Linked DNA regions of Oryzias latipes. The protein of the gene in region 1 interacts with the protein of each later gene in a pairwise test. Links are inferred from orthologs where the notes say so. Each region holds a gene or a part of one and is shown on either strand. Other genes may lie near its edges.

Region 1 (4,378 bases):
GAGCTCCAATAAAATGGGATTTTTGTTCAGATCTGAGTAGAATAATAGTAATGTTTTAGCTTGTTTCGGTAAATCCCTTTGTTTAGAAAATGTTCCAGATCAGACTGGACATTATATATTATTAACATTATTAAGACAGAGCTGACTTTAATGGGGGGGGGTCCTAATTTCTTCACATGACTAGCAAAGTTAACAAAAGTCTTTTCAAGTTTCTTTGTGGAGAAAGTAGACGGAGAGAAAACAGAAGAAAATCGTTCAAGCCTTCAAAATAAAAGAAATCTGGATTTAGCAGAACAGAAGCGTTTTATTTTAGAACGACGGTTGTTCTCACGCTAAAGCCACGTTTAGAACATGTGGCGCTGAATCTCTACTGTTCCGAGGATGCTGATGGTACAGTTGGAAACTCCATGGATTCGGGTTCGTTATGGCTTCTGGTTTTCAGCTTCCCCCTTAACTGTTAAGGGGGTAGTTAAGGGGGAATGGATGTATTTTAATGGGTCCTACATGAAGTCTAGAGAACAAGGAAGTTGAATCCGGCTGCAGACATCAGATCCACCGACGGCTCCCTTTAACGTGGATGAGTGCAGGTTCTGGTTCTGCTTGGCAGACCTAAGTTCTGCCCCTGTGACCCGCCTCTGAGGACAGAGGTGGACTTGGGAGGACCGGGCCGGTGTTCCGGGCTCAGACACTCACTGTCGATGGCCGAGGCAGAAGGCCTGGATGTTGTAGGGGGATCTCCGGTGGCTCACCCTGATCTTCTCGTCGCGGTCGGCTGTGATGATGAACCTGTCGTCTGGAGAAATGACCTGGAGGGGGGCACACAGAGGGAGGGGCAGGTCAGGGTCCCGGCCCCTCAGGTGGATGTTCTCATCAGAGCAGAGGGTTCCTCGGGGTTCTGGTTCTCCTCAGCTCAGCTTATGCTTCATGATCTTCAGCGTTTACCTTCCGTGACGCCGGCGCTCTCTACAGAACGGTTGCTGTTAAACCTGCCGTCATGAGTGTAGCGTCCTACCACAGCCAGCAGCATGGACAGGTGACCCAGCTTCAGCTCGCCGTCCCTCTGCGCCTCCACCACCGAGAAGCTGTAGACGTCTCCAGACTTGTCGGCCAGCAGCAGCTCGTCTTCCGCCCGGCTGAAGGTCAGCGCGGTGCACCTCCTGACCACCCACCTGCCCCGCAGAGGCAGAAGCTGCTGTTGCACCGGGTCCGGACATGACGCGGCGCTCAGTGGCCACGCAGGTGAAGCTCACCTGGTGCTGATGCATCTCCACGAGGGCTCACAGCCAAACAGGACCAGCCTCTTCGTGTCATCAGTCAGCGCCAACAACTTTCCAGATGCAGATGTGGCGACGGCGAGCACCTCGTCGTTTCCCGTTTCCTCGCTGAAAAGATAAGACTTAAGGCCTGTTCACACCGGGGGGAATTTCGCCGGCGATTTTCGCCGACGTTTAACGCCTCGTGACTAAACAAAGGGCACCAATGAGAGTGTGCACACCGACGCGAAAAAACGCCATGCGCCAAAGCGTCAAAAAAAAAACGCCTCGGGTTCGTTTTTTTTTCCGACGCGTCGCGTCTAAATCTATTGGACCAATGAGAATGGCGCTTTTGCACACGTGTCTGGAGCTTCTGAAGTTACAGTAAAACACAACTTGGGGGCGCTCAAACACAAAACTGCCTTGCTGAGCACACATACCAGCGAAGAAGATAGACGCCAAGTAGCGTCTACACTGCCGCGAAGAAATAATGACGGACATTCTTAAATATCCCCGAACCAAGCACCAGTTGGAGCTACTGGTGCTTGAAATATTCATGTTTTCTTTGTATGATTCTGACTAGCGCGTAAATACTTGCTCTCTTCTTCTGAGTGAAAAGCGACTTTAAGAATCGTAAAGTTGCGCAGCGCCACCTTGTGTACAGGAGTATTTCTGTTTACATTAAGCGCCATCTAATGTCAGGGAATGAAATTGCATGTTCGCTCGGCTCATCGTCAGCGAAAATCGCCTGGGTGTGAACACAAAAGACGTGGCGAAAAACGCCTGGCGAATATTCGTCCCGGTGTGTACGGGCCTTCAGAGGTTACCTGCATTTCCCATCAGCCTCTGCTCCTCCTGCTCCATGTTCTCACCTGGTGTCATCGCCCTTCGTCTGTTTCGGCTTCTTCTCAGCGAGGCTGCAGTCAAACACAAACGCCTCTCTGCAGGTCAAACAGGAAGTGCTTCAGCTGTGGTCGTTTCACAACCTTCAGGTGAGGAAAACGTCTGATCTGCTGGTGTGACAGAGGGCGTGGCCACTTGCTCGACCTTCACAGACCATCATCATCTTTATCAAGAGCCATAACGTCATCAGAAATTGCCCACAGTCTTCCTCATCATAGTCTTCATCAACAGCCCTGATCCCATCTCTTCTGCCTTCAACCATCTTAACGGACCTCAAACTCAAGTCCCACCTTCATCTCCACCCTCATGATCATCATCATCATCATAGGCTTCCTTTTCAATCATTTTACTATGGAGCCAACAGCTCGCACTAGTTTTGTTTGCATCACGTGACTGAAGAGCCCAACTACCAGGAGGAGCACGCGGTGGTCCTTGATGCAGCGGCACGCGCGGCTCTCACCTGTCCTCCTTCGTGTGAACCGCCACGAGCTTCGTGCCACAGCTGGTCACGAGCCAGTCTCCACAGAAGCCCAGGGTCCTCATGTTTCCGCGCCGTCTGTGCACCGAAAGACAGACACGCGCGCAGTCGCCTATAAATGACGTCACGTTTCCTCCAGTCTCTTCTTCGTGTGTTTTCTGCCCCAGAGGACGAGCAGAGAAATAAACTGAAGACAGTCAGATACAGAAACATTTCATCGTTTTTCCGGAACCAAACAGATTATGTGGGAAAATTCTAACAAGCCGAACCTCTATGTCGATGTTTTACTTTTCCAAACATGATGTTCTCGCGAAGGCTTCGGCTGTGGGAGGGGCCGGGGGCGTGGCGTGAAATCCGTATAATCTCATTGGCCCAATCCTGGAGCTGTCCCTACTCTGATTGGCGGGAGGTCGAGCACATATTTTGGGTTACATCACAGGTGACGCTCGGCTCTCCTGGACCGTGAGGTACGGTTCGGTTCGGTTCGTGCTCCTCTGCGCTCGTGCTGCTTGTCCGTGGCTGCAGCAGAAAGATGGCGGCTGCTCTGCTGAGGACGGGACGCCTGTTCCGGACGAGAGTAAGTCCGAATCCGAGAGGATTCTGGGTCATTCAAGCCCTGGTTCTGCAGGTTCTGATCTTTAGAGCTGTGCAAAAGGATATCGACACCAGCAGTTCTGTTTGCATTAGTCATTCGGAACCGTTTCACATTTGTTTGGACCTGTTCATGTACAACATTTTGGACCTGTGCTCAAAACGGGCTGGAAAAAACACATTATTCATGTTTGTTTTTTATTTGCATAATATTATTTTACATTATTTGAAGAAACTGAAAACACAAGGTCCATTTACTCAATGAAAATCTTCTTTTAGCCAAATTCCATAGACATAAATGTAAATATAGCCACATGAAACCGTCTTTCTCTACTTTCATTTGTGACGTTAAAAACACAGCAAACCTCTCAGGAATTCAGACTCTAAACTTTCCTCCTTTTTCATTATGTTTTCATCCACTCAGATGGAATCATCATTTTATTCGCTGTGTTCTTCTGACGATACGTACAGATGTTTGGTTAATAAAGTTTATTTGTAGAAAAACATCTTTTGAACTGAGCAGCGAGTTCTGCATAAATCAGATTATTTTGGACCTTCTAGTCAGAGGTGTTCTGCTAAATGGACCGACACCATAAAGCAGGAGGAAGTGTGTCCGGACCCGTTAGACCTGTGACACCGACAGCCCCCTGCAGCTGTCCGGATGCGTCCTGGAGCGCTGGCATTTCTGGAACCAGGAATTCCAGAGTGGAAATAGACAGAAGACTGAGCTCCTGAAGTTCTGAGTTTAGGACCGACAAACATCTGCCGCCCCGGTTTGGACCTGCACACCGGTTGAGATTGTAATGTCCTCCTGCAAACAGGTTCTTCAAACACATGGAGGTGAACTGGCCAAAGACCGGTTCTGAGATGTTCTGCAGCCTCACATAACCCTGAGTTCTCCTCCTCCTCCCTGTGAAGCTGCCAGTGTCTGTCTTCAGTCTGAATGGAGTGAGGCTCTCCATCGGAGCGCACCTCCTCCTCTAACCTCGCTTTAACTCCACACAGATCCGTCCCGGTTCTGTTGGGTCCTGGGAGAACTTCACTGAAGTTGGTTTCTGTCTTTAGTGTTTGCAGGCCGAGAGCTGTACTGGTCTGGGTAGAACGTCTGCAGCCTTCAGCACCAAATCTGGAGGCTCCAACAAGTCGACCAAGA
Region 2 (3,140 bases), on another chromosome or scaffold:
GCCCACCAATCTCTAAACTGCCTTTCACACTAATGCTGTTCTTTGAAGGGAAAGATGGAGATGATAAATGTTGACAGAGCTGTGGAGTTCGTCTTATCCTGCATGAACTTTGACGGCGGTTTTGGCTGCAGACCTGGTTCAGAGTCTCACGCTGGGCAGGTGAGGAACTAAAGAGTCATTTCTCTATGAAATAATAAGCAAAGCCTCACTTTTTAGTCCAAATAAAATACCAAATCAGGCCTTCTTCCACCACCTCACGTCATAACTCAGAGGTCTGATTAAGAAGCGGAGGCGTTCTCAGGAGGAAAAGTTTTCATGCTGGACTGTTATGTGTTTCTCTTCAAGCCTCAGTTGTGTTTCAAAAGTCTAAACCTGTTCTGGTTCTGGTCTCAGATCTACTGCTGCACCGGGTTCTTGTCTCTCACCGGCCAGCTGCACCAGCTGAACGCAGACCTGCTGGGCTGGTGGCTCTGCGAACGCCAGCTGCCGTCTGGAGGCCTCAACGGAAGGCCTGAGAAGGTTTGACAGCTTCTAACATGAAATCACAAATCTTTTTAGTTTCCTCGTGAACCAAACCTTAGTGCTGTTGAAGAAGATCATTGAACTCTTTTTCCCATGAGGACCAGCCCTCAGAAACCTGCCGGCGTTCTGAAAAATGTGTTTGTGTACACATTTCCTGTCATTCCCCTTTTTCCCTAAAAAGGAAAGTGAAGTGTGGTGGATCACAGAACACGTTTCTGCTGTTTGTCTGTGACACTGATGTCACCATGGGTTCCATGGGTTCCTATGAATTAAGTGAGAAAGAAACAGAACATGTGGTACTTGCTGTAACAACATTTCTGGGTTGGCTTCAAATATCAGCCCCTCCAGAATTTTCCGGGTCTTCCGATCAACTGCCTCCGACTCGGTCCAGCTGCTCTCATTTTGAACAAGTTTCACCATCAAAATTTCACAATTTACTGTGTGTGGGTTTAAAGAAATCTAGAGTCCAGGTTTTGGGGGTGAAATGAGCACATTTAATGTTATCGGACAGAAAGGAAAAGGTTTTCAAAGCATCACTGAGTCAGCTTTTTATTCTTTAGTTAAAATGTAACGTTTTAACGAAAAGATAATGTTTTTGTGTGAAGTTTGCTAAGCATGCTGCTGTTATTCCATTGTTCAGGTTTGACAAACACTCTTGAACAAACAAGGACAAAAAAAGATATCATTGTAAAGAAATCCCTGATGAAGAAGGACTTTCATCAGTGTGGAGCATTTCCTGTGACGGTGCATAAAGCTGCCCTTGGAAAATAAAACAGCTTTAGAATTTGTGTGCCATCCCTTTAGTTTGAAAAGTGTAGCAACTTTGATCACAACTTTGAAGGCAAAAACTAGCGGCGGCTTCAGGATTTTTGTGCTGCAATAATCACTGAAATAGCTGTGAGATCCTGAATTTTGTGATGTTGTGGTTTGAGTGGAAGACAGAGAAGAAGAACAGAGATTCCTCAAACACTCGCATTCTGTGGAGGAAAGAGATGAAGGCCTTTTGCCGCTTTAAGGCCAAACATCAAGTTTGCTCGCCGTTTTTTTCTTTTTCTTTTATGTACTACTGGCAGACGGCTGAAGCTGTGAATGTTTTGCACTCCTGGTCTCAAAGCCATCTGTCTTTGCAGCTTCCAGATGTCTGCTACTCCTGGTGGGTTTTGGCATCTCTGAAAATCATCGGTAGGATCCACTGGATCGACAAGTCCAGACTACGCCAGTTTATTCTGGCCTGTCAGGATGAGGAGACGGGAGGTTTTGCTGACAGACCAGGAGACATGGTGAGCTATCACACACATAAGAAGAAGAAGAAGCTATCCGACATGTCTGGACCTCCGTGGTTCTGTTTTTTTGAAGGTGGACCCTTTCCATACTCTGTTCGGGGTGGCTGGACTCTCCCTCCTGGGCGAGGAACAGGTCAAAGCGGTAAATCCGGTGTTGTGCATGCCAGAGGACGTGTTACAGAGGATCGGCCTGCAGCCGGACCTCCTCAGCTAGCCTCCAGATGCTCGGCATGTGTACGTGATGCTCCTCCGACCTCCACGCCTGGACAATGGAAGCAGAGACAGAAGCACGTTTCTCAGCCAGAGTTGAGTTCATTCATTGAACAAACGAGGAAAGTTTCCGTCATTCAACATTCCTGAAGCTCTCCACTGGATCAGTCCTGGAACATCTCTTGTCTCATTTCTGTCCTGTTTTTGTCCTTTTATCTCCGTAACAACTGCTGACCATCTGACATGTTGCTGTGGAAAAACCCCTGATACATTTAGTGAGGAAACGTTTCAGGAGAGGGCGACAAATCTATCATTTTTGATGTTTTAGAAGCTGAGACTGCCTCTCTCTGTTGTCTCATGTTTCTGCCTTCATGCTCCTGCAGCTGTGTTCATGGGCTTCAAAGCTGCAAAGACTGTTTCATGTCACTCAGCTTCAGAGAGTGTCGGCCGGCCTCAGAAGGCTCCGTTTTGATGCCACCTTGAATGTCTTCTCCACACTTCCAGCCACTATATTTATTAAAATGTGTCACTCTGTGAGCGTCTGAACGAAGCTCCAGGAAACTCTGTGCTCGGTCACTTTCTGCTCTTTATCTTGTGTGGGGAAGTTTTCAACCGTCTCCTCTCTGCCGTCACATTCAGGCTAAAACGATTCTACTTAATACAAGGAAAAGAAAACATGTTTTATCAGTAAGATTTTCTAAATCTAATAAGAGCTTTTCAAAACTTGAATTCAAATTTGATGAATAAGACAAATGCTCAATTACAGCCTCAATAAGTTTATGCTCTGTGTTAAAACACTTTAAATATTTTCAACTTTGACCTTCAGCAAATCAATGACCAGTGAAAACCCTTCAAACCTAAGTAATGATGTTTTTGTGTGTTTTATCCTCCTAATTATAATTATTTTGTTTTGGGAAACTCAGCCATCATGAATCATTGACATTTAGGAAGAGATTCACTCTTCAAGGACAGTTTCAGGAATCTAAATTCCATAAGTTCTATTTTTATGAAGAGATTATTCATTTAATTTGAAAGAGTTTTTTACCCCATAAATCTTTTGAGTTATTAGAAAAAAACAAAACATGCAGTTGAGCCATAAAACTGTAAATGTTCTTTTCTAAAAGC

What was found.
Region 2: the proteins of wdr4 (region 1) and rabggtb interact in binary tests that used the Homo sapiens proteins (3 or more experiments, as listed by UniProt). The two-hybrid records come from large-scale screens. The link is inferred for Oryzias latipes from reciprocal best matches to the Homo sapiens genes WDR4 and RABGGTB.

The regions. Positions count from the first base shown.
Region 1 is NC_019879.2:31,098,065-31,102,442, forward strand, and holds the start of wdr4 (tRNA (guanine-N(7)-)-methyltransferase non-catalytic subunit WDR4), read right to left. Parts: upstream 3,045-4,378; 5' UTR 2,935-3,044; coding exon 2,904-2,934; intron 2,829-2,903; exon of another isoform or gene 2,822-2,828; coding exon 2,617-2,821; intron 2,195-2,616; coding exon 2,126-2,194; intron 1,383-2,125; coding exon 1,251-1,382; intron 1,170-1,250; coding exon 1,013-1,169; intron 807-1,012; coding exon 694-806; intron 1-693. Other genes in the region: fibrous sheath CABYR-binding protein, read left to right, coding at 3,167-3,211, 4,291-4,378. UniProt on the Homo sapiens protein: Non-catalytic component of the METTL1-WDR4 methyltransferase complex required for the formation of N(7)-methylguanine in a subset of RNA species, such as tRNAs, mRNAs and microRNAs (miRNAs).
Region 2 is NC_019875.2:3,791,633-3,794,772, forward strand, and holds the end of rabggtb (geranylgeranyl transferase type-2 subunit beta), read left to right. Parts: intron 1-48; coding exon 49-159; intron 160-393; coding exon 394-519; intron 520-1,652; coding exon 1,653-1,802; intron 1,803-1,878; coding exon 1,879-2,019; 3' UTR 2,020-2,579; downstream 2,580-3,140. UniProt on the Homo sapiens protein: Catalyzes the transfer of a geranylgeranyl moiety from geranylgeranyl diphosphate to both cysteines of Rab proteins with the C-terminal sequence -XXCC, -XCXC and -CCXX, such as RAB1A, RAB3A, RAB5A and RAB7A.